Linked DNA regions of Schizosaccharomyces pombe. Changing the gene in region 1 together with any one later gene gives a genetic interaction. Each region holds a gene or a part of one and is shown in the gene's direction. Other genes may lie near its edges.

Region 1 (13,425 bases):
AAAAAGAATAAATGTTTTGTTATTTAACCTTAAAAATCCTGTAACATTCAATTAATATTATTTTTATACATTTTTTTTGGGATACACGTGGAAGATTGTGACTAATATATCTTATAAGTAAGGATGAGAATATGCTGGACTGGTGAACGGAGTTGGACCAAGCAAATATTAAGATTAATAGTGAAATGGTTTTAAAGGTATTATTTATTGTAAGTAAACTAATTTTCAATTCTCATATAGCAAAAAGAGTTTTTTTGTGTAAATGATGAAGATGCGTCATTTACCCATCATTATTCTTCGCTACACCAAAACCAACCGTAAAGATTTAAAACTCAACAAGCACAGTGCGTATATCATAGAACTTCTATTCACGCATATAATTAGTGCTGTTGCTAGTTTTGTATTTATTTTTGTAGACTTTATCAAGTTTTCCGACAAAATCGTGGTTTTAGTGAGAAATTTTATCTTTAACTTTGTATCACTATATCTACGATTTGTATTTGCATGCCGCATTCTGCTTGTACGAAAACAATATTTAATAAGGTAATAGGATATAAAAGGAGAAGTGTAGTTTGTGCACTTCAGCCAATATAGAAAGAGAATAACGTTTCCAATCGAGCCGATTTAACCTCTTTCCATTGAAAGGTAATTGTTTTTAATCAGTTGTAGACGTTAAAGAATGCACAAAAATGAGCCTTGAAGACTGCTATAACGTCACACAGTCATATGCCGCCGTTGCAATTCATAAAGAGCAGACTGCTGACTATGTGGAGGCTATCGCTTTATTTCAAAAGGCCAAGCGGAACATTCTCATGAATCCAGAGTTTAAGTATGCGAGGGAACGCTTACACGTGATGGATTATGAAGATAGACATTATGTGGAAACATTACTCTGCATGTTGGAGCAGTTGACCATTCGAATTGAGTTCCTTACCAAAGAGATTGCGCAACAAGAAGCTGCTTATAAGGATATTCAAAATACACAAAAGTCACTTGTAACACAATCTTCTACTGGTAGCGCTAATGTTGCTTATATAAGTGGAAATGGTCCTGGCGATCGCTCATTTATCGATGATGGTAACTATAGTGCGTCTTCTTTTGAGCGTCAAAATAGAACAGCTCCTTTACAATCTAAAGTGACAACGGCATCCTTAAAACCTAATATTCCGCGAACATCTATGTCCTCTTCACCTACAGCTTCGCGGACTTCGTTGCGTAAAGGCGCTGGTGAACTAGAAACACATAGCGCTGTTAAATCTGCTAAAAAGGCCAGTGTCAAGAGTAAATCAGTGCTTCCTCCAAGTAAATCGCTTGCTAGGACTGGACTTCCAGCTGAAGTCTCTACCCAGAACAATGCCAATCGAGCAGCTCTATTGGCTTGGGGATCTTTGAATTCATCTAAGCCTAAGCATGCTCTCCCGCCATCATACATATCATCGGAAGCAGCGCAGGCATCTCGATCATCGTTTCAGGTTGAGCGTCATCGTCCAACTCCCGATAACTCCGCCGTTATTGAAGCTGCCCGCCGAACTTACTCTTCTATTTCCTCCTCTTCCTCACCCTTCAAAAAGAAAACGCAATCCCATCTCCCTAATCGTACCACTGAAGTACCTTCTATATCAAAACAGTTATCAAAGTCATCTACCTCAATCGCAACCGTCGCGCCATCTCTCGCTTCTGTTTCGTCAGTTACAAAATCGCCATCTCCCACTCCTCAGTCAGCTCCACGAGCTCAATCTGCTTCCACTGAAACTGCGCAAGATCTGGATTTCCTTACACCGCCACGTTTATCTGTGAACAACCCTTTTCTGAGTGATCTCTATCCAGCTTCCGAACAGGGGCTTTCTTCCTGTGAAGAGAAAGATTCGCCGGTTGATGGCGATGAATTTTTCAACCACACAAACGAAGAAGAGATTATTGAAAAGCAGTTTCAATCCACATCTATCTCTGCAATGACTTCTGAAAAGCAAGAACAAATTCTGCGTGAATGTCCAGACATCGACGAAGAGCTTGGTAAGAGTATACTTCGAGAAATCGTGGTTTCGGGTGATGAAGTTCATTGGGATGATATTTCTGGGTTAGAATTTGCTAAGCACTCTTTAAAAGAGGCAGTGGTGTATCCGTTCTTGCGTCCAGATTTGTTCCAAGGCTTGCGGGAACCAGCTAGGGGGATGCTTCTTTTTGGGCCTCCAGGAACTGGTAAGACAATGCTTGCGCGAGCTGTTGCTACTGAATCCCGTTCTGTCTTTTTTTCTATTTCAGCTTCTAGTTTAACATCCAAGTTTTTGGGTGAATCCGAAAAACTTGTTCGTGCTCTCTTCACTTTAGCAAAAAAGCTGTCTCCAAGCATCATTTTTGTTGACGAAATTGATTCACTGCTTTCTGCTAGAAGCAGTGATGGAAATGAGCATGAAACATCGAGAAGAATAAAAACAGAATTCTTAATTCAGTGGTCTTCGCTTGCAAGAGCAGCTGCATCTCGACAAACCGCCGATCACCCAAGAGTTCTAGTGCTTGCCGCTACCAATTTGCCTTGGTGTATCGACGATGCTGCTCGTAGACGATTTGTCCGTCGTACCTACATTCCCCTCCCTGATGAGACCACTCGTCGCTTACATTTAAATAACCTTTTAAAATATCAGAAGCATTCTCTTTCCTTAGAGGATATTGAGGCTATTGTGAAAGCAACCGAATATTACTCTGGCTCTGATTTGACAGCATTGGCAAAAGACGCAGCTATGGGGCCTTTGCGAAGTTTAGGTGAGTCTTTGCTATTCACGAAAATGGAGTCGATTAGGCCGATTAATTTAGATGACTTTAAAACTAGTATCAAGGTAATCCGGCCTAGTGTGAACTTGCAAGGGCTGGAACGATATTCAGAATGGGACAAAGAGTTCGGATCCCAAGGGCATTGAGTCTGTCTTCTTATTTAAAATTCCTAGCCTGATACCGATTTTTTTGGTAATCACGTTGAAAATTTATTTATTGTCTTTTAATACATGGCTTGTGCAAACTTATGATTATAACTAATAAGGACAACTTTTGCCTCAAGGAATTATTCATGATGATAATAATGGTGCTGTACCAAAAGCCTTTTTGTTTACTCCTAATATATTCGTTTGTCTCTTTTTTGTTGATACAATTTATGCACAGTCTTTGAATTTTTCAAACACTTAATATTAACTGAGGTTATCTCTAACCCTAGTTATTGTTTGAGTTTCCATTTTTATTACGACTCATTTACAAACAACTAAAACTCCTTACTATGATTAATTAGTCAGTACATGTCAATATTTATAATTTAAATGTTTACAGTTTTTTTATTCTATTGTTCTTTTAGCGAATCTAAGAGTTTACAGTATATCACTTACGAAATTATATTGCAGTTACACTATAGAAGTCAAGTTGTTGGGATGCTTTAATTATGTGAAGATGCACACTCAGCTTATGCTCTTGCGATGCCTAAACCTATAGAATGGGTATGATAACTATTGATTGATTTAGCTGATCAAATAGAATGAATTTGATTCAGGAATGGGTAGTAAGTTGGATGTGTCAAGTTCCTTGAATTCATCGTCTTCCAATATGGATCGTGACAGATCGGAGTCTCCGAAGCGACATGTCAACGGAAGCAATTCATTGAAACGTGGCTTGCATTTTGATGGAGAGCACACTGAAAGAGACCCTCACTTGGGAAATGGCCAAAAGTACACTCAACAAGAGCGTCGCGTGTATGTTGGTAATTTGTCATATCAAGTTCGTTGGTTTGAGTTGAAAGAGTTTATGGGACAAGTTGGCAATGTTCTTAATTGTGAGATTTTGAATCTTCCGAATGGATTATCGAAGGTAAGTTTGCTTCATAGAGGGTGGGTTTCATGCGACTAGTAAATCATTGTCTATTTAAATTGTAACGTTGAATCGATCCAATTGAACGTTACTTTTAAACGATTACTTATGGCCTATAGCTTATCCTAAAATTTGTCGTATACTCAGATTGTGAATAGTCTAGCTAATATATCAGGGATGCGCGATAATTGAGTACTCTACTGCTGAAGAAGCGCGCACGGCAATTAAAACTCTGAGCAACCAAAAATTTATGGGCCGTCTTGTTTATATCCGTGAAGTAAGATTTTTTTTATGTCGCTTATTAACCTTCGTAAAGGATCGAGAACAAAATGCAAGATTTGGCTCCTCTTCAGTATCGCCTAGCGCGTCGTCGAATGGCAAAGATTCTGAGCCAGACAGGCAATTGTTTGTTGGTAACGTAAGTTCAATTTCTAATCCTCTATATTCTTTTCCTCGAACTTTGGTATTTTAATGAATTGTGGAATTGCAAATAAGAAATGGTACTAACGAGTATAGTTACCGTATAACGTTCGCTGGCAAGATTTAAAGGATTTGTTTAGACAAGCTGGTTCTGTTATCCGAGCTGATATCCAAATGAACCAAGAAGGCCGATCCCGTGGCATTGGGATTGTTGTCATGAGTTCGATGAAAGAAGCCATGCATGCCATTCAAATGTTGCATAACACTGATTTCATGGGCCGCACTTTAGAAGTTCGCCTAGATCGGTTTGCACATCATAAAAGTAAGCCGTATTCCACTCATGGAAATGGCTATACGTTTCCAGCGGAAATGCAAATGACTACATCATCCACCTATCTACCCATGTTAGGTGCTAATACTCAAGTCGAGGATTTAGTTTATCATGCGTATCCCCATGGACCCTGCTCGGATTGCATTTACGTTGGAAATGTATGTATATAAGGACGCTTTTGTGGGATTAGTTTTCCGCATCATTTTAAGTTTTTTTTGGAGATTACTGACTGAATATAGTTACCTTGGGCCACCTCAGATCGCAATTTATTGGACCTATTCACAGATATTGGCTCAGTCATTCGTGCCCGAATCGCCTATGAGCCCACTGGCCGATCTAAAGGTTTCGGTGTCGTTCAATTTGAGAATGAAAATGATGCAGCATCCTCAATTGAAAAATTAAATGGTTATCGTTATGGCGGGAGACCCTTGCAATTATCATACGCTCACTATGCGACTCCACTACCTGCTGTCCCTACTGTGCTCTCGGGTCTTCCTTCAGTCGCTTATACACCACCTGTTATGCATATCCCTACAACGAATTCACCACTAACGCCCCAATCTTTTACAAATTCTTTCTTAGGCTATCTACCGATTTCAATGCCCGTTGCAAACATGCCCGCTATTGCTCCTATTTCTGTAGCTTTACCCGAAAATAATATTGAACATTCTTTGGAGCCTTCTTAAAAATTCGCCAATACATCTGAACTTCTTTTCTCTTTACAATTAAGCACATTTCCGTAGTGTGAATGGCTAGCTCAGTGACGACATGCGCAATGTTCTAAGGCAGTTATCCTAATATTGTTTGCTTTTCTCTATTTTTTCTTCAAATTTTTGCTTTAATTCCTAATCCCCAAATATTCTTATTTTCCATGTTTATAGATTTATCTCTTTTGTTTGATTTCAATTTTTTGCTAAGATCTTATTCTTTTCCGTGACACACCAAAGTATGCTGATGGCATATATATTCGTCTCTCGTTCTTCTAATTGAAGTCTTTTTAATTTTAGCTTTACTGTTTTTTTACAGGATGCCTAGTTTCCTTCTTTTACAATTGCTAACCATTTCATGGTTTTAATGATATTTTAGATTTTTAGACTTCCATTCTGTTAACTTCCAGTTAACCAAGTTTAATCTTTATTGATTAACTACATTATTTTTAAAGTAAGGTGTATTTAGGTTAAAAATCTTATTTAAGCATAATGGTAAATTTCGTATAGCGAAATGTAGGTGTTGATTGTTTCTTACCTTCTTTAGTAGCCTTATCAATGAAATACAAACATTTACTTCTATCTTATTCCCCACATTCATAAAATTGATGGTCGCATACCTGGCTGGCATATGTAAGACGACAAGCATCATACGCATGAAGTCTACCTACCGAGTCCTTTACTCATGAAAAATCCTTCAATCTGTACGTTCTTTCCGTTTGGACGTTTTTTCAAGTATTTTTCATAATAAAAAATTTAAATTTCTTTATTAAAATTATTTACATCAAACTATAAAGAGGAATGGCAACTGTAAAGAACTTGCGAATTGGCAAAAGTCCTAATCGGTTGATTCAAGATTTAGACGTCTTTGATAGTCCATCAGCTGGATGGAATGATCCTTGGAGTCCTCATAGCTCAAGATATCACTGGCAGCTTCATTCAAATTTAGGCGAGTCCGCTGTATTTGACGAGAATGACTTTTGGTGTGTTTGTCAAAAAACTCGCAAACACTTACATGTGAAAGTCCGAAGAGACAGGGGGAAGCCATTAATTGAAGAGCCTGAAGAAAATTATGGAATAAAAGATAGGATTCCTGTTTACTACGAAGAAGAGGAATTACCTGAACCTCATGTGACTAGCCCTACGAAAAGTGAATTCGCTACTACCTCTACTTGTATGAAATGGAGTAGCAAAACAACAAAAAGTGAAATTGAAGTTGAATGGAGAGATAGCTATCTTGATGCTAATTGTATCAAAGAGATAATTGATTCCCGACGTCCATCATTTGCTTCCCTTTTAACTAAAAAATCGTCATCTCATCAAGGGTCATCCCATTCATCCCAACCTTCTCTTTTTACTACATTTACTTCTTTGGAGTTGTTTTTACGAAACGTGTTGGTCCATAACGATCAACGTGCCATTAGCGCTGCCCCGGAAGGAACTTTTGAGAGACATGTCGGAAAGGGCCGCCAAATTCAATCTTTGATGAAATCTCTTCTGTTTGAATATCACCACGAAAATGTAAATTATGTCCCTACCATTGCGGACGCTCCCCTTACTGACGAACAAAAACTTAATCTATACCTTGCTAGGAATGAACTTATTGTTTTGGCTAATCACTTTCGTGACACTAAAGAAGATCCGGCTATTGTTGCTAACCCTTTTCCCGTTAGGTTGGCTCGACCTGCTTTAATTAATGCCTTTGGCGTTCCTAACTATGATAGCGTGGTTCCCATGTATACCACAGTTTTTCGCGACAATTCGGCCTCCTTACCTGATGATCCTGCTTTTATAGCCTTGGGTATCACGAATGATTATCCAGACAGCTTTGTCCGTTATTTCTATGAGGAACAAAAAAAGAACGATGAAGCTAATGTTCGTGTTTATGCGGATGCGCTTGCTCATATATACAATTTACGTAAAAGCAGCTTTTTGAGAGATCTAATTGCGGCAGATAGGAAAAATGGAATCGTGTCGAGCGATGTAATACAAGCCGCTTATTCGAGTTTAGGACTTGAAGCTGAGGTAGGCCCGGATTACAGGTATAGTCAAGAAAAAATCTTTGAGGCGTTTCATTCTGCCCTCCTAAGAAAACCTGAATTTGCCAGAGCTATTAGGAACGATTTGGAGACTATTGGCTATGCAAGAAAGAGTTCTGAAATTTTAAATTATGTTTTGTCTACAGAACAGGCTTTTTATACGGTTAATGAAGCCTACCAATGGTTGGGCATTAAGTCTAACACCGAGGACGCCATGGTAGCTTCTGTGGCCTTAGTGAAATTTGAAGATGATAGCGACAAAGCCATCGAGGCCGTCAAATGGATAGCTGAAGAGAGAAATAGCTCCATTTTGTACGATTTCTTGGCTTCACAAGGTAGACCTTCCAACAAGAAGCCTAAAGAAGTGCCTATGGATGAAGATCTAGCTTACAACACATTAGGTGTTCAAGATCGTGCACTATCAGATGACGTTTTAATCAATGTATACGGCTTTGCTGTTGAAGACCACCCAGAGCAATCAGACACTTTGAGAGCAGCTTTGAAATGTATAGGAGAAGTTAGGAATTCGCGTTTAATCACTCATTATTTAGAACATGGAAATCTAGATATTCCACCAGAAGTTTCAAGTTTGGATACTCCGATCGGTTTGGAAAATACTGGTAATCTTTGTTATTTGAATTCCCTGATCCAATACTACTTTATTATAAAACCTCTTCGTAATGCAATTTTGGATATTGATGAAAACAAAGATCTTAATATGATTGAAAACAAGGAAGCTGTCAAGAAAGTTGGTGGACGGATTGTTACTCGAATTGAATTCTTGAGGGCTTTACAATTCACTTATGAACTCCGAAAATTATTTATTGAACTCATTACTTCAAAGTCATCGTCTGTTCATCCTTCTTCAGTACTGACATATCTTGCTTTAATACCTCTTACGTTGGACCAGGTCAAATCTGGAACATCCTCGGTTATGGATTTGTCATCGTCTCGAGAGTTGAGCAATTTGAATGAGAGATCTATCACTATTGACCCCAGAGCAGAAGAGCAAGCTCAAGGGCTTGAACAAGAACAAGGACAGGATGAGGCCAAAAGTCCAGCGGAACAATCTTCATCAGTTAATTTAATTGATTTTCCCATGGCCAATACTAACGGAGAGTCTCAAACACAACCTCATTACTTTGAAGTATCTGAAGAAGAAATAAACTCCTCCATGGATTTAGGTCGTCAACAAGATGTCTTGGAATGTATTGATCACGTTTTGTTTCAACTGGAAGCTTCACTTGGTCGTATTTCCAACTCAGAAGATCGTCTTGGCTCTGATAATGATCTTATACGACGTTTGTTTTCTGGCAAACTAAAACAAACACTAAATGATGCTAGTCAAGGAGTACGGTCTAACTATGAGATTTTTTCTCACTTGATCGTTGACCTTTTCGAGGAGAAACAAACATTGTATGATGCATTGGATGGTGTTTTTGAAACAGTCAATATTGATATGGGAAGCGAAACTGCCCAACGATCCTTGTGTATTACTGAGCTACCGATAATTTTGCAATTACAAATACAGCGTGTCCAATTTGACAGGACTACTGGACAGCCTTTCAAGTCTAATGCATTTGTTGAATTTGGAAAAGAACTTTCCATGGACAGATATGTTGAAGATACTGATGGGAAAATGGCACCTTTACTACAAAGGTACTGGGATCTAAAGCGTGAAATTATCAACCTTCAAAAACGACAACAGCTATTGTTAACTACAAATTCGAATCTAATGTCATCTGTTGATACATTGTCTATTCTATCTAAATGGGCTGCACAGCAGCAGGATTCGAGACTTCCTATTAATCCAAAACTTCCTGATATCCTTCAAGAGGAAATAAACAATGTTGTCGCTGAAGTGGATATGCTTAAAAAACAGGAAGCCAGCTTAAAAGAAGAAAGGACGCATCTTTTCGATAATTACATCAGCCATAGCTACGACTTGCTTGCTGTATTTGTGCATCGTGGACAGGCTTCATTCGGTCATTATTGGACTTACATTCATGATTTCGAAAACAATGTGTATCGAAAATATAATGATGAATATGTTACTGTGGTAGATGAAAGCGAAATTTTTGCTGATACTACGGGCAACAATGCTAACCCTTACATGCTTACGGTAAGTCGTTATTATTTCCCATTTGAGGGAAATAATCATTTTCTCAAATTTTTTCCAGTTTACATATAGCTAACATTTATCTAGTACATTAGGAAAGAGTATCGACACATAATTGAATGTGTTCACCGTGAACACAATCTTCTGCTTTAAAAACTATGTGAAGGGTAAAAACTAGGATGGATCATCCGTGATCAATTGCTATGAATGGAGGTTGGAAGTTGTAACGTTTTTCACGATATTAAAGCATGGAAGCTATGAATTCATATTTCAAAAATCTATTTATACATAAAAATTTAGTTATACTTTATACATCGGTACGGGTTAATAATCTATTAGTCTTTACTATAAAGAGAAAATTTTTCTATGACAAAATTGCAAAAAGTCTAGCAAAAAAATTGAAATGTAAACAAACGGCTTTTATTATTAAAATGGCGATTATCGCAAATTTTATTATAAGTAGTAATCTTTGACAAAAAATGTAATTAATAGATGAAACTAGTAGAAGTTTCCAATAAATAAGTCAATAAATCACTATAGAAGTACCATGGAAAAAACATAAAAGTAGCTGTAGAATCAATAGCAGGTTTTAAGGTAATTTGAACGAGCTTTGTACAAAAATACATCAACAGTGCCGTGAATGTGCCAAGTTATTCATCAAAGAGAGCGAAAAGTAAAATGATGCGTCGTAAAAAAAATCAGGTAGGGCAAGATTAACTAATAAACTAGGTATTTAAAACAAGGATCATCCGCCCATAAACCGAAATAGAAAAAGAGAACATGTTTAAAGAAAAAATGAAAACTATAAGGGAAATAAAATCTTAACACATAAACGAAAAAGTAAGGAGCCGATTATTTTGTAAAGTATACGGCCGCAACTAAAAGAACCTATAGATCGTGACTAAACCACTTCTTCCGGAGACGTTTCACCAGGTGAGTCTGTCCGACTAATGGCATTCTTCATACGGCGTATTCTGATGAACCCAAAGGTGTCTACTAGTACCAAGCACCACCCGATTATAATGAGAATAGAGCCTATAAGCTTCTGATGTGGTAACTCGTCGTAATTGTATTGATCGTCGTTATTCTCCATCCCACTCTCCGAAATCATTATGTAGCCACGTTGAAAAAGAGTTAAACTAAGTCCAATTTGAGCACCATAACGACCCAAATGAGTCGTCGATAAGACATATGTGACAAGAAATCCTACAAAAGGAAAGAGAATAGCGACACAAGCACTCCATACAAAGGAGAAACCAGTTCCAACGGACATCCCATCAATGTAAATCTCGTTAGATCCGTAATCTGGAATTACCATAGTGGTATCCCAGTAAGGAGGGGCGGTATCCGCAGCAGCCTGTTCATAAGAAGGGGGCTCCTCTTCCAGTTCTTCAGTATTAGATTCCACTGTGGGTTTAGCAGATAAATTAGAGAAGACACTATCAACGTGATGGCCATCTGCATGATTTGATGAAGTGCTGGGAATTCGATCATTGCTACTACGTACATGCCCAGAGTCGTTGCCAGGATCCGGCGTTGATAAATGTTGGTAAAAAGCTTCTTCTCCTTCTATTGATGCTCTGGCAGAGCTATATAAAGGTGCTGTTTCACTGTATTCCACATCGTCGTCTGGAGGCTCGAAAGCAGCTGCCAATTCCGATCGATTTGTAGACCGGTTTTCCGGAAATTCAGGTATTGGAGTATGAATTGAATTTTGCTAAAATAGATTTGTTAGACTGATATATCAGGGAATTTAAACAGTATAAAAAGAAGGCTTATCCTTACATTTGAATTAGTACTCATGGGAATTGTGATATCTTTCAACCCGTATATAATGAGGTAAAGTGATTAATGAACGTTCCCAAAAATTTCCGTATTTTTGTTTTTTAACCCACTAAATGCTCTTTGATTTTAAATTAACAGAGTGGTGGAAGAGTACAGGATGGATCGAAACCATGGTATTATTAATGATCGTTACTTGCAAGTAACAACTATATTCAAAATCTGTAGAGAAATCAGATTAAAAAAAAAATATGGGAATTGAGTGTTTTAGGTGACATATCAGAAGCTAAATTCCCGTTATAAATTATTTTTGATATCTATTCTTTTCAATAAACCAAACAAGCCAATTGAAATCAATGGCTTGGGTTATAACAATTAGTGATCAGATATGTATTCCGACAAGAAGTGGTATAAAAAGTCGAAAATGAGAAACAAGGAATCTCAAAGGATTTACTGATATAATCGACTTGGTGGTAAGATGGATGGATGACATGAATGATTAGAAAGGCGTACGAAAGAATATTAAATTAAAAAAAAAAAGCACCAACGAGTGTATGTCAGTAAAAGACCAAGCTAAACCGTTACGTATTTTTACTAATGGATGATTTTGGTGCATACATATAGAATTTTAAGCGTCAAAAAGGTCACTAGTGATACGAAAATGTGGAGACGGGTCAGAGCGTGCCCAAGTAAAATCCAAAATAGGATGCTCATCTTTATAAGAAAAGGATATCTCCTTTGATTCTTCAATGACGGGCGATGTTTTGCATCGCAGGTGCACACGAAGGTTGGTAGAATGGTGAAGACGAAACTAGAAGGCGTTAGCGATATAATCAATCAAAAGAAGGGCCAGAAGGCAAAGTAAAATCAAACAGTAGAAAGCATTATCAATTTTGTTTACACAGCATTGTTGTGATCCATACTAAGAATATGGGATCTAAATATTGACAACCTAATATAATGATAGCAGTCTCTACGTCTAACTAATAGTTTCCATCAAAACCATCGTCTAGATGCCTTCAAATTTATCAAAAAAACTTACTTGGTGACACGATACACAGATTGTTGAGTCGTTAATATCAGAAAGATGGATAGAACCCTGAATGGTTGGGAAAGTAAAGTTGCATTTTGTAGCGTTATGTAAGTTCACAGATGAGCAGTTGGATATGGAAATATTGCATGATCGTAAACTTTTTGCGGAAACTTTGACAGCTTTGTTGTTAGGATATGGAATGACATTATCTCCAATGTTTTGGTTTTTCAAATTTGCCAAGTACAGGGTGTCATTTTCAAAATAAACTTCTGGAGCTTCAGCATTAACTGTAATATTTTTTACCGGTTTCTGGGACGATTTGACGTGCAGTGCCCGTTGAAAGCGAAATGGCTGTCTGGGCAAAATGTCGTGTCGAATTTGCTGAAGCCTTCGTGTCAAATCTACTAGTTGTTCCATGCATACTCTCCTGTCATATGGTGCAATTTGGTCTTGAACTTCATTTAGCTCCCTCGTCATTTCACCTAAATATTTTGACTTTTCTTCAAGCCAAGTCTCTTTTTCGGAGCGAGAAGTCTGCTCACTAGGAGTGGATTTATATAATTTGGTAAGAAATTCTACAAAAAAGTAGTTAGTAAATAGCACAACAAACAGACCTTTCGATATGAACGAAATTGCAGATGTAAATAAACCCATACCTTTTCTCAATTCGACGAACTTTTCAGACATTTTTCCTTTTAAATTAGAACTAAAACACCCGTTATATATGCAAAATTAAATCACAGTACGTTATGCTGTGTTCAATGATCATTCAATAAACATATATTTTTTCAATTTTAACCTGCACCAAAAGTCATTCAAACAGCTCGGGAAAAAAAGGATTCTTAAATAAATTCATCAAATCAGTATTAGTTTTAATCTTAACTTCGATACTTCGGGTGCAAAAATTATTATGAATTTTTAAAATTGAAACCAAAAATCCAACTCTTCAAAGGCGAAGTACAGAAGACAGTGCCTTGAAATGAAAATTATCTTCACTCAACTCAAAATGACTTTAAGATTTGGAAATAAACGAAGTTTTGTCGATTTTATCGTTATGAATATTTTTAGCGGCTCTTATCTTTTATCATTGAGAATCATCTTAAATTTACCTGTATGTGAGCTCAACAGATGTTTGCCTTCCATTCCTT
Region 2 (12,124 bases), on another chromosome or scaffold:
TTTACAAGCGTGGTTTTGGTAAGGTCAACAAACAACGCATTGCTCTTTCTGACAATGCTATCATCGAAGCTGCTTTGGGCAAGTACTCTATCTTGTCTATCGAGGATTTGATTCACGAAATTTACACCGTCGGTCCCAACTTCAAGCAAGCTGCCAACTTCATCTGGCCCTTCCAACTTTCTTCTCCCTTGGGTGGCTGGAGAGATCGCAAGTTCAAGCATTTCATCGAAGGTGGTGATGCTGGCAAGCGTGATGAGCATATTAACTCTCTCGTTAGAAAGATGCTTTAATTTGGTGTAGATGTTAAAAATAACCATATCTTTCCTAGCTTTGACAAAATAATTTACAACAAGTAGATTTAGTTGTTTTGGTCATTAGGTGTTATTAGTAAATTCATCGCTAGTAGTTACTTTCATTGTAATTAGCTTTGTTAACTCATTTTTGCAATCTTTTGTGTGCATATAGTAATTTTACCTCGTCAAACAGCACTTTTACTCAACGTTGTACATAAGACGATGGTTGAACTAATGATGTAGTGTCTTCATTCGTAACAACTCATATTTTATAACTTACTTCCTACTAACGCGGTTTTAATCCTAAACTTGAATAAACTAGTGGTTTGTTTAATGCAATTCATTAAAAGGACATTTCCGCGAAGGGCCTTTGTCGATTTGCTCCTAAACCGCTTCTGCTTGCGGGAATTTGCAACCACGTATAGTGTTTCAGTAAGTAATGCGCGGAAATTAGTACGAAAGCGCCTTTTAATCGCTGATGCTTTGAAATTCAAGGAGCAAGTCAACAATCTAAATGAGTTTCGAAATAAAAAAACTAAGTCATCCTTAATAAGAAACGATGGTTTCAAACTGGCTAAAAATGTATCTTCGTTACTTCAAAAAGAGTCTTTAGAGAAAGCATTGCATTTACTGTACGAGAGATCAAATGCCAAGAAGACGGTTGCCTATAACCTTGTACTACAATATCATTTAGCTAAAGGGCATTACAACGCTGCTTGGTCTTTGTACAATGATATGAAAAAGCGCCAACAAAAACCTAGCGATCATACATACTCCATTCTTCTAAAGGGATTTTGCGATGCTATTGAAAAGAATAAGCAAGGAAATTTTTCTAAACTACGTGAATATAGTGAAAAGGTAACAGCTAGTGCTCTCAAGGAGTCTAATAATGTCACATCCAATTTGCATCACATACGAATTATATCCAAGTGTAGTCTAAAGCTTAAAAGTATGGTATTGGTGTCAATGATTATTCCATCCATCAAACAAACATTGGATTTCTATAGTGGATCTCAAATTCTTCGACTTTTGAACGACTTTTCTATGTTCAATCCGGAACAACGTGAAGAAGTGTTAAAGATGGGGACGAATCTTTGGAATTATTTTGTCCTTGAATGCCAAAAGAAAGGAATAGCAGTTGATGAAAGTCTTATTTGTTCCTTTGTGAAACTTCTGGCTACTAGCAACTCGCCTCAAGTGAGAAACGTGGGGTTAAATATTCTTACAAAAGTGATGGGATTGGAATATCAGATTTTCGAAGATTCCAACTTGCGTTATCCTTTACCCCCATATTGCGATTGTACTTCAAGAAGTTTGGTTACAGCATTACAGGTCATTCGTCAAATACAAAACGGTGATTTGTTAGCAAGGTATTGGAAGTATTTTGAGGAAAGTCACAAATTTGATTTAAATCTTCAAGTATATCATGAGAAGCTACGTAACCTTGTTCAGCAGGGCCAAGCAGCTGAATGCTTAAATACCATTAAAAGGATGTCGCATAACGGTCCTTTCCCTACTCAGCAGACATTTTTGATTGTCTTATCATTATGCAAAAGGCCGAAATTTTATAGCTACACGAAAAGCTTCTTAGACTTGGCCAAGAAATTGAACGTCCCCGTTGAAGCAACCTAAAAATATCATCAAGTGTTTAATAATTCATCGATACCTTTTTATGTCATTTATAATTTTCTATTAATTTATAAGAAATGAATTCAAATAATCGTCATGTAATTTATTTATTTGTACATGTTTACCTTGTCCGTTTGAAACTGTAGAATGGAACCCTTATTATTTTAACGTCAATTTAGCAAACGTAATTTAAAATTGTTTGTTGAAAAGCCATGAATTAACTAAGAGTTATAATTATGTTTCTGTTGCATGCCACTGATTTAGCCTGAACTTCACCTAGACGTAGTATTAACTTAGGAACTACTGATTTTGGGCATAAAGAGCTATATACTCACTAAAAATGCAAGGATTTAATATGGGGAAATATATTCCCCCGGAAGGGCCGAATGCTAAAAGAAAATTTGATAAATTACGAAATGTAATTCGGTTTGAAATGCCATTTCCAGTGTGGTGCAACAATTGTGAAAATATCATTCAACAAGGCACTAGATTCAATGCTGTTAAAAAAGAGATTGGCTCATACTATACTACGAAAATATGGTCATTCAGCTTAAAATGTCATTTATGCTCAAACCCTATCGATGTACATACGGATCCTAAGGTACTGGTTTGATTAATTTAACAAATTTGTTACTGACATAAATAGAATACAGAATACATCGTTGCTTCTGGAGGCAGAAGGAAAATTGAACCTCAAGACATCAATGAACGTCCTGCAAAAGCTGAAAACGACGAAAAGGTGCCGTCTGATGCAATTGAAGCGCTGGAAACCCAATTAACTCAGCAAAAGTCAGAAAAGCATAATAGTTCTGTAATAAACTTTATATATGAGAAAAATGAAAGGCTTTGGTCGGATCCTTTCGTTTCTTCTCAGAGGCTGCGAAAACAGTTTCGGGTAAGAAGAATTTGTTTTGCGTTAAAATTTTCATATTAACTAACCCATAACTTAGGAAAGGAAAAAAATTGAAAAAAAGCAAGAAGCTAAAGATCTATCTCTCAAAAACCGTGCAGCGTTGGACATTGATATATTACCACCCTCTTCTTCTGACAAGGATAAGGCATTATTGTTGCTAGATAACGAATTAGGAAAGAATAAATTTATAAGGAAATTAGATTATAGAAGAACATTAATGCCCTCTTCTAGAACATTTTCGACTTTTGCAAAGTTTGCTGAGACTTCATTCGCAAAAAAAGATCCTTTTGCTCGAAAATTTGTCCCTTCCGAGAAGCTAAGGAGCGAGCAAAGGAAATTTCCTACAGAAAATTTAAAGGGAGAGAAAATCCTTGAAGATAATTCGGTTTCTCTCGTCAATTATGAAGTGAGTGATGATGAAGGATAATTATTTTGGTTAAATACGAAGACTTTAAAAGTATCTTCTATCAAAAGATTAACTACTTGTTATTCATTAAATTTTTATACAATATGGGTATCTAATGAAGCAAAAAAATATGGATGTCATGCAACCCAATTAATTACCGTGATGCTTCCTTTTGTACTTCCTTGGATCCTTCCTACTCATGCGAACGCGATCGCGCATTCCTTTTCCTCCCTCCCAGTAGGCACTGGTTTGTTTTTTCACAGTCATATTTCCACAATGGGGGCAAGTTGCATCCTTTTTGTAGAAAGATTCCATGGCACAGTACCCACATATTATTCGATTAGCATGCTCAAATGTATGATTTTGATCAGCGTCATGACATTCATCACATGGATAAACACGATCACAACATGAAAAACGAAACCCTGATTGTTAATTATGAATTTTATAAACGACTTACATCTGAATGATTTTTTGTAATGTTCGCAAGCACCATTATTGGGAAGTGGCAATCCTTTCGTAATGTTTAAGTTTTGTTTTTGCTTCTTTTTTGCGCTCACCTTCCCGCCCATTGAACTTTGTCGTTGTTTTAACAAATGAAATTCGGTATCTTGATGTTCAACCAAGATTCTGTTTTTGCATACTTTACAAAACTGTAGCATGGGCTGCATGGAAGAAATACCTTTAAAGGATGTTATCTGCTCATCAACACATTCCATACAAGAGACCTGACAGTCAATGGGCATCACGTCAACCGGTACACATCCTAAAGTATGGAGGATACCTAAACGGGCATTATTTGGGTGAATCACACCAGGCACCCAAACTAATCTTAGAGTATTACTACACTTATTGCAAACAAGAGAAAATTTTGTAGCAATAGAAATTTCACTTCCATAATGGCACCGAACACACTTTATGACCAAACGTAAAATTGGTGCTTTGAGAGTACCGACATTAGTTAAATGCGGATTCTTCCATTCTAAGCAGTATTCGTTACCCAGAAGCTCTGTGTCTTTGCTCTGAATGTCATGATCGTTACTGTAAGCATCCTGTGGTTCATTAACATTTTGTAGATCATCTTCTTTCCCATCGTTTCCTCCTTTTGAATAAATAATTTTTTTTGGCTTTTCATCATTGAATAACTGTTCAGAGCCAGAGATGGTAGTTTTTGTTTGGGTAGTATTCTGCTTTTGACAGTGATTTTGACCACGCAGTACTTCATAGTCAAGTGTAGTGTTCAAATGAACCCTCTCTGATAGAGGTCCTTCAAGCTTATTTGCCAACGGCTCTAAGTCAGTTGGGGTTTCTGGTTTCTTAGAATCGACTTGTTGAACCATCAACTCACGCTCTTTTGTATTGCATGTCTCAAATGATTTCCAATTTTGTAACAAATAATTAAATAAACTTGTCAAAGTTGTTTTCTGATTTTGAAATGCCGTTTCAACGTACTTATTCATTGCCGTTTGCATGAACTCTTGATTTTTTTCAAGTAATACCGATATTTGAAACGGTTTATCTTTATTTATAACTAAAGTAATCAATCCATGATCACTGGGCAAGGATAAGAAAATCTCATTTCTTGCCTCTCTGGTACTAGTTAATAAAGATGTTTACATTAACTAACCCACAGCTAACCTGCTTAGTACTTACATAACTTCCGGATTAAGCCTTCGCCGGAATACTTGTATCTGCAAGTCCCAATTTGAATCCTTCATAGCTTCAATTGAAACCATAATAACCAAAAAAGGCTATAGTCTTGTAGTATTTGGTTCAATTCAGGTTAAGTCGCCAACACAAATACTCGGTTCTTCCTCGGATGTCCGATGATTATTTCGACAGACTATTTGAATTAGCATTCGTTTATATTAATGAAGATGAAACGATTCAAAGCTGTTCCTTCAGAGGACAACGCTGGCTTGAAGAGGTATGTCTAATTTTTCCGTGCCGTTTATAGTAATGTGCTTCAATTACTAACAGTTTTGAGGCCCAAACTCTTGAACAAAAAAATTCATTACTCAAAGCATACTATTACTATTTAAAAGCACTAAAACTTGCTTACGAAATTCCATGCCGATTCGAGATTTCTGTTAAGTCTACTCATTATGGAGAATTCAAACAGTTCCAAAAGGTATCGACATTGTACATAGTATTTTTTTTAATGCTCAAAACACGAAAATTTTGTATTCAAAGCTCCCTAGCCTTCTCGTCAGATAAATTTGATATAGTTGACGAGACTGTACTAATTATGATCTTTGAAGCAAACTTAATTTATTTTTTGTTCAAGTTACAATCTTGAATACTAACATGTCCTTTTAGTTAGCAATTCAAGCCGTTTCCAAAGCCTTTACTATAAAAAGCAAATTAGCGGTGAAGCATTATTTGCCTGTAATTCAAATCTCTGACGCTCTTTCCCTATCAAAAAAATCATCACTTAAAGTTCTTTTTCTTAATTTCTATTCCCAAGAGTCTTCAAAGGGTTATGTTTTTTCGAAGCACACGATTGCCATCCCAATATCCTGTTTGCAATCGATGGATTCTTCAAAAATATATGACTTTTTAAAATCCGCACCTTTTCATCCAAGCATGGTTATTTGTTACAGTTTGGAAAGATACTTCGAAGACGTTTCTTTGGCTTACAAGCTTTACTCGATGTTACGTTCGTTGAAGTTGGATCCTCATTTCATGGAATTGGCGAACCCTAAGAAAGTTGATAGTTCTTTATCGTATGAAAATTATCAGCCTATAGGTTTAACGAATTTGGGTAATACTTGTTACATGAATTGTGTCCTGCAATGTCTTTTTGCGTGTAAGGACTTGACTATTCCTATGTTACAGGGGAGAGGATTGCTTCAAAATATCAATACCAAAAATCCATTGGGTACCGGTGGAAAAATCACATCTGCTTTCTTTTCCTTGCTTCAAAGTGTCTTATTAAACCATGGTCAGAGATCAATATCTCCAAGGAATTTTTTAGAAATTGTACAGTCATTGAATAGAGATTTCTCCATCGATGGCCAATGCGATGCTCAAGAATTTTTAAATTTCTTTCTTGATAAACTTCATGAAGATTTGAACTCCAATGCATCTCGGTCTCCGATAGCACCGTTGACGGAAGATCAATTAAGTGCCAGAGAAGAACTCCCATTGTCCCACTTTTCACACATTGAATGGAACTTGCATCTCCGGTCTAACAAGAGTATTGTGGTCAACAATTTTGTAGGTCAACTTTGCAGTCGTACTCAATGTATGACATGTGGCCGCACATCTACTACTTTTGCTCCCTTCACATCGCTTGCGATACCGATTGACGATGTCTCCCATGTAGTAAGCCTACAAGAATGCTTATTAAAATTTTCAGCTCCTGAACTCTTGCAAGGGCATGATGGATGGCATTGTCCCGTGTGCAAGGTTCAAAGGTCGGCAAAAAAAGTAATTATGATTTCGAAACTACCTGAATATTTGATCATACAAATTCAGAGATTTAAAATATCCGTAATGGGTCGTAAAAAAATTGATACACCACTTGGATTGAGCTTACAGATTCCAAGTAAAATGCTGGTACCACCGAGTTTCCAATCGGGAATTGGTTATATTCCTAGCAATTATAACCTGTTTGCATTTATCTGTCATTATGGCCAGCTCGAAAATGGACATTATATATCTGATGTACTTTTTAATAATGAATGGTGCCATATTGATGACTCAATTGTTCGAACAGTGGGCGGTATTACTGACTTGAGAGAAGATTTCTCCTCTTCCTACATTCTTTTTTATAAACGCTCAAGTCTGTTGGAGGAGTTTGAAGATAAGTGTCCCAAAATGACTTTGAAAAGAAATGTTAAATAAAACAAAATAAAAAAAGGAAAAATGTTTTCAATAAACCTCAAATATAGTTATTGAATAAATGTTCAACTTAGCATTCATAACCGATATGAATACTTACTTAATGCTGATTACCCAACACAAAAGCTACTCTCGTTATGTTGAACAGAATGCAGGAATTGGATACAAAATTTTTTCATCCTAGAATTTTTTTTAAACAAAGATGGTTTTTTTCTTCAAGATTGATCATATTCTTTTAAGGAAGATTTTGTTCTTAACTTTCCAGACTTTTTCTTTTTAAACACCACTTTGTTTTCATTTGATTCCTTGCTTTCTAGCGATTTGTTTCCCTCGTTTTCAGCTAACTTAGGTACTTTATCTAAGTTTTTTGGTTTTACCCGAAAATGAAATGAAGATCTTTCTTCTTTTTCGATGATCTCTCTGTTTCTTTTCAAAGAGGTCCCTGGTAGAGACTCATTTTTATTAGTAGTTGTTTCCTTGGTTTCTTCATTTTCTTCTTGCTTTGCTAGCAATGTAGGAATATAGCTGGTATGAGTAGTAGAGATGGTGTCAGTCTCCGTAGAACTTGTAGGAATATCCCAATCATCCAAAGTAGCTTTTTTTTTAGAGGGACGTAATTTTGGATGCTCCTTTTTTGGTTTCTCATACGATGCTAGTTCAGATGACACCGCTGAAGCAGTGGTAGCAGTAGCTGATTTTGGTATAGATAAATTCTTCTCAAGTTCCTGCCTTAAAAGGTTGGAACGATGAATATCATCCATTACTTTTTTAATAGCATCCTGATGTTTATAAGTTTGCTCATGGCTCCGTCGCGCAAATGGTGTATCTTTCACGAACTGTACTGTTAGTAGGATTCTATTAATTTCACCACTTTAGAAATAATTTTTGGATGTTATAGAAAAAACTTACTATTTGGCAATATTTACAATAATATTTTGGAATACTTTTCCAGTAATCAGCCATTCTGAATATTAATAGGAGATACGCACTAAATACATACTTAAAACTTATTTACCCATATATTTTTCTCAGGAAACCCACCTTTTAGCATACCGTTATTTAGTAATGACAACAGTTTCAATTACTTTTGACTTGTTGTCGTCTATGCAACCAAGAAAATGGCTGAAAAATCAGAATTTTGTTGGTGAAATTACCTCTCTCAGTTTTGACGACAGTGGAGAGTTGTGCTTGGCGTCGTGTACTGATGATACTTTACAACTGTATAACTGCATTTCTGGAAAGTAAGTACTTCTTAAATTCACTTTTGAAACCTGTTTGGCTAACTGACCATGAACTTCTAGATTTGTGAAATCACTTGCAAGCAAAAAGTACGGAGCACATTTAGGTCGGTTTACTCATCATTCAAATTCATTAATACATGCTTCCACAAAGGAAGACAATACCGTTCGTTATTTAGACGTTGTGACAAATCGGTATCTTCGATATTTTCCTGGCCATAAGCAAACAGTGACTTCAATCGATGTATCACCAGCAGATGAAACTTTTTTAAGCGCTTCTTTAGATAATACTATTCGCCTTTGGGACCTTCGGTCTCCAAATTGCCAGGTATGAGTATAACAATTACTGATAATCAAACTAACTAGGAATACGTAGGGTTTGCTCAATGTTAGTTCACCCGTTGTTGCAGCTTTTGATGCTACAGGACTAATCTTTGCCTCAGTTAGTGAAAGAAAATACAAAATTTCTCTTTATAACATTAAATCATTTGATGCTCGCCCATTTCAAGACATTCCTTTAACATTCCTGCCCCCTCATGTCCGCATTGCAAATGTGGAATTCAGTACTGATGGTAAATATCTATTGCTAACAACTGGAAATGATTTTCATTACGTTATAGACGCTTATAGTGGAAGTGAATTATTAAGAGTTCCTTCAAAGGTTAGCACAAAAACCCAAGATGGAAATTTGACTTATTATGCTTCAGCTTGCATGTCTCCAGATAGTAAATTTCTTTTTACTTCATATGATAATGAGCATCTTTGCATGTATCAACTACCAGAACTGAAACAAACTGTTAACTCGGATCACATTGTTAATTCATTCACCGAAATGGGCCTAGCATCAACTACTCCGACCAGCAATAGTCATTCAACAGAGAACCCGCTAGCTATCATTCCTTCTTCAACATCTAAAAACCTTTTACCAGAAACACCTTCTATTGTTCGCTTTAATCCACGCTTCTCTCAATTAGTTACAGCACATTCTGGAGTAATTTTCTGGACGTAAAATTGTTTTTGTGTCTTAACAAACCACGAAAAAATGAATATTATATTATACTATTATTAAAAACAATTTCATAAAAAAACTTCATAACTATTATTTAAAAGGGGGAAAAAATGAGTCCTCTATTTTAAATGACACCTGAATGACTTAGAAGACTTAAACAAAATAAAAAAAGGTAAAGTAATATTAGTTTTGAATCGAGATTAGGTTCGTAATAAACGCTTCACAAAGTGTCCAAATTTTGAGTTTCTAAATCCATGATGGGAATTCCCCAAATCATAATCAACACACAAGACAATAGTCATACCTGCCATGTTGGTAGCAATTATTATATCAATCGGATGTACAGGAGGTGTTCCATATGATCTGTGACTATGAGGTTTTACTAGATTGTATCCTTCTGCAATTAAACTGCGATCATGTTCCGACTCTTTAGCTTCGACAGCAGTCCTTGCTGGTGCAATGATGGTCGAAGTCAGTCTCTCACTACAAACCTTGAATGTTTCCGTGGGCAAATGGAGAATGACAGAGCGTTTTCTTGATGCATTGATGAGTACCTTGTTGGGAATATGCCATAAAACTACTTCATTAGTATCACTTCCACTAATGATATAACTGTTGTCTTCACTTAAACGAGAAAGTACTCTGCCATTAACACGATGAGCATCACTCAGTTTCAACACTAAAGCGTGAGTGACCGTGTTGTATAACCGGATAGCATTGTCATTAGTAGATACTAAAACAACGTTGTCGGATTTTGAATCGTTTGGAATGATAGATGCGCACTGTAATCCAGTGACTCGGCATTTTTTATTTCTTGAGGGAGAATGATGAATTAGCCATGAGGACACATATTGTAAATTTTTAGTTTCATATATTGCACATAATCCGTAGAACATGCCCACAACGATCGACTCACCGTCTGGATAAAAACAAATAGTAGAAACGACATATTCAAGTTCCGTCCAATGCAATATTTTATGGCGTAAAATGGACCATAACTGAATTTTGCAATCAAGGGAACCAGAAACAAAATAACGATCGTCGATCGGGTGAAATGCGACACATGTAACAATCTCATTGTGCCTGAAAACCGCCAAGGATTTGGTTGATTTTGGATGCCAAAGCCTAACGGTTCTATCCGCAGAGCTAGTTAATAAAAAATCATTTTTGCTCCATGAAATGGAAAGGACTTCTGCGTTGTGACCTACACATTCTAGGACAGGTTCAGGTTCAAAAATGCTAGAAGGGGTAAAGAAACGACCACAACTTTGAGGACCTTCTTTGAGTAAAGTTTCTCTTCTTTCTGGTGTTTCAATTACTTTCCACACACGAATTATTGCATCTTTACCAGCGGTGGCCAGATATTTTCCACTTTTGCTAATTTCGGAGGCCCACACAGATTCTTTAAATTGAGAAGGCTCCCATTGCATAATTCGCTTGCCAAAAATAGTTTTTGACTTTGGAGCATCAGCCGGACCTATAACTTGAGAAACGTAAAGTTTTTGATTAAGTGTGATCTCCTTTTTGGGCATTCGTTTACAATGGACGGGAACGTAATGTCTCTGTCTTTTACTATCGATCTCACCACGATCAATCAAGTTCAGTAGAGATCGATCATCATCTCTTCCGGCCAATTTTTCCGTGTTTGGTGAATTCGTCTCGGCATACGTAGTAGAGTCTCGGGGTGTGTTAACTAAGCTAGAATTGTCATCATTATATTCGGTGTTCATACCAGTGTCGTTTTCTACATCTTCATCTTGTTGAATTGTTAAAGGTCTGAAGGGTCTTTTTTGAGATCTTGTGGATAATCCACGTACAGGGGTGGCAGGCGGATGTTCATCGTCTGTTTCTAGTTTGTAGGCATCATTGCCTGTACCAGAATCACTGCCGTTCACAGACACTTCTCTAGAATGTACTGACACATTATCTTCTCTTCCGGTCTCAGCAACCAAAACGCGCATCTCCAATGCAACTTCTTTTTAAGGTATTATTTTATATGAAAGTTTCCAAACAATACCCAAATTAATTCAAATAGGGAGGTCTTGAAAATGCAAACAAAGCGGAATTAGGAAATTAAAGAATAGGGAAGAACGAAATAGGAGGGATATAAAAACGCAAAGTAGATTGGGCAATCGAATAATATCAATGATGAGGGAATATTTTTTTATTGAGCAAGATAGAAAAGAAATTCGAGTAAAAAGGGAGATTAAAGGTGGATAGGAAAAAAAATGGAGATAATTAAATTTTGAAATTATTCGCAGAAAGTCGAATGCTTGGGAAATGCTATACACAAACGCTGTAGATGAAATACCAAACACGAGCAGAACTTCGGCATAGACTTTTTGTGAAATAAAAAAGAAACTTAAAAAGGATGCAACGAAGAATGGAGTGAAGCTATAATCAACAAATCAATCAATCAATCGGTATATGCACTTAAAATTTGAACCAGCAAATACCACTCGTAAAACCAAAGATGAAAATCAATAGATAAAGGATAAAAAAGAAAAAGAAAAAGAAAATTTTTAACAAAAAAATAATTTTGAGCAGAAAAGGCGTGGCTGTTGCTCAAATTGAATTGGAATTAAAATCTCTCTCTACTGTTTGCTTTTGCCGCTAAAGAAATTTAAAACGCAGACTGCACCAAGAGAACAAAATTTGTGTTTCAATTCCTGTTATAAACACACAATTTAAGTAAAAAAAGCAATAGCAGTGTAAATGGTTAAATTTCCGTTGTTTAATTCATGTCATAATTATATATACTCAGAATCCCATAGTCGTAGTAAGAAGGTA

Evidence for each region.
Region 2: mutations in ubp2 (region 1) and ubp4 together harm fitness more than expected from each alone (negative genetic interaction), as found in Schizosaccharomyces pombe (2 studies listed by BioGRID).

What each region holds. Positions count from the first base shown.
Region 1 is NC_003424.3:3,481,220-3,494,644, forward strand, and holds ubp2 (ubiquitin hydrolase Ubp2), read left to right. Parts: upstream 1-5,974; 5' UTR 5,975-6,105; coding exon 6,106-9,465; intron 9,466-9,549; coding exon 9,550-9,615; 3' UTR 9,616-9,880; downstream 9,881-13,425. Other genes in the region: spg4 (AAA domain-containing protein), read left to right, coding at 690-2,915; hrb1 (RNA-binding and mRNA export factor), read left to right, coding at 3,459-3,479, 3,517-3,846, 4,022-4,123, 4,163-4,264, 4,363-4,755, 4,837-5,283; bsd1 (heavy metal ion homeostasis protein), read right to left, coding at 10,364-11,179, 11,248-11,265; tubulin specific chaperone cofactor C Tbc1, read right to left, coding at 11,873-12,055, 12,287-12,852, 12,934-12,964.
Region 2 is NC_003423.3:1,779,185-1,791,308, reverse strand, and holds ubp4 (ubiquitin hydrolase Ubp4), read left to right. Parts: upstream 1-4,865; 5' UTR 4,866-4,894; coding exon of another isoform or gene 4,895-4,977; 5' UTR 4,978-5,060; coding exon 5,061-5,168; intron 5,169-5,228; coding exon 5,229-5,372; intron 5,373-5,375; exon of another isoform or gene 5,376-5,560; coding exon 5,561-7,090; 3' UTR 7,091-7,302; downstream 7,303-12,124. Other genes in the region: RNase MRP subunit, ribosomal protein L7-like Rpl701, read left to right, coding at 1-290; PPR repeat-containing protein Ppr2, read left to right, coding at 627-1,925; splicing-associated factor Saf4, read left to right, coding at 2,263-2,523, 2,569-2,817, 2,873-3,262; SPOM_SPBC18H10.09 (zf-CHY type zinc finger protein), read right to left, coding at 3,392-3,666, 3,702-4,831, 4,895-4,977; wbp4 (WW domain-binding protein 4), read right to left, coding at 7,303-7,923, 7,997-8,050; swd2 (Set1C complex subunit Swd2.1), read left to right, coding at 8,153-8,328, 8,389-8,653, 8,702-9,334; SPOM_SPBC18H10.05 (WD repeat-containing protein), read right to left, coding at 9,535-11,295.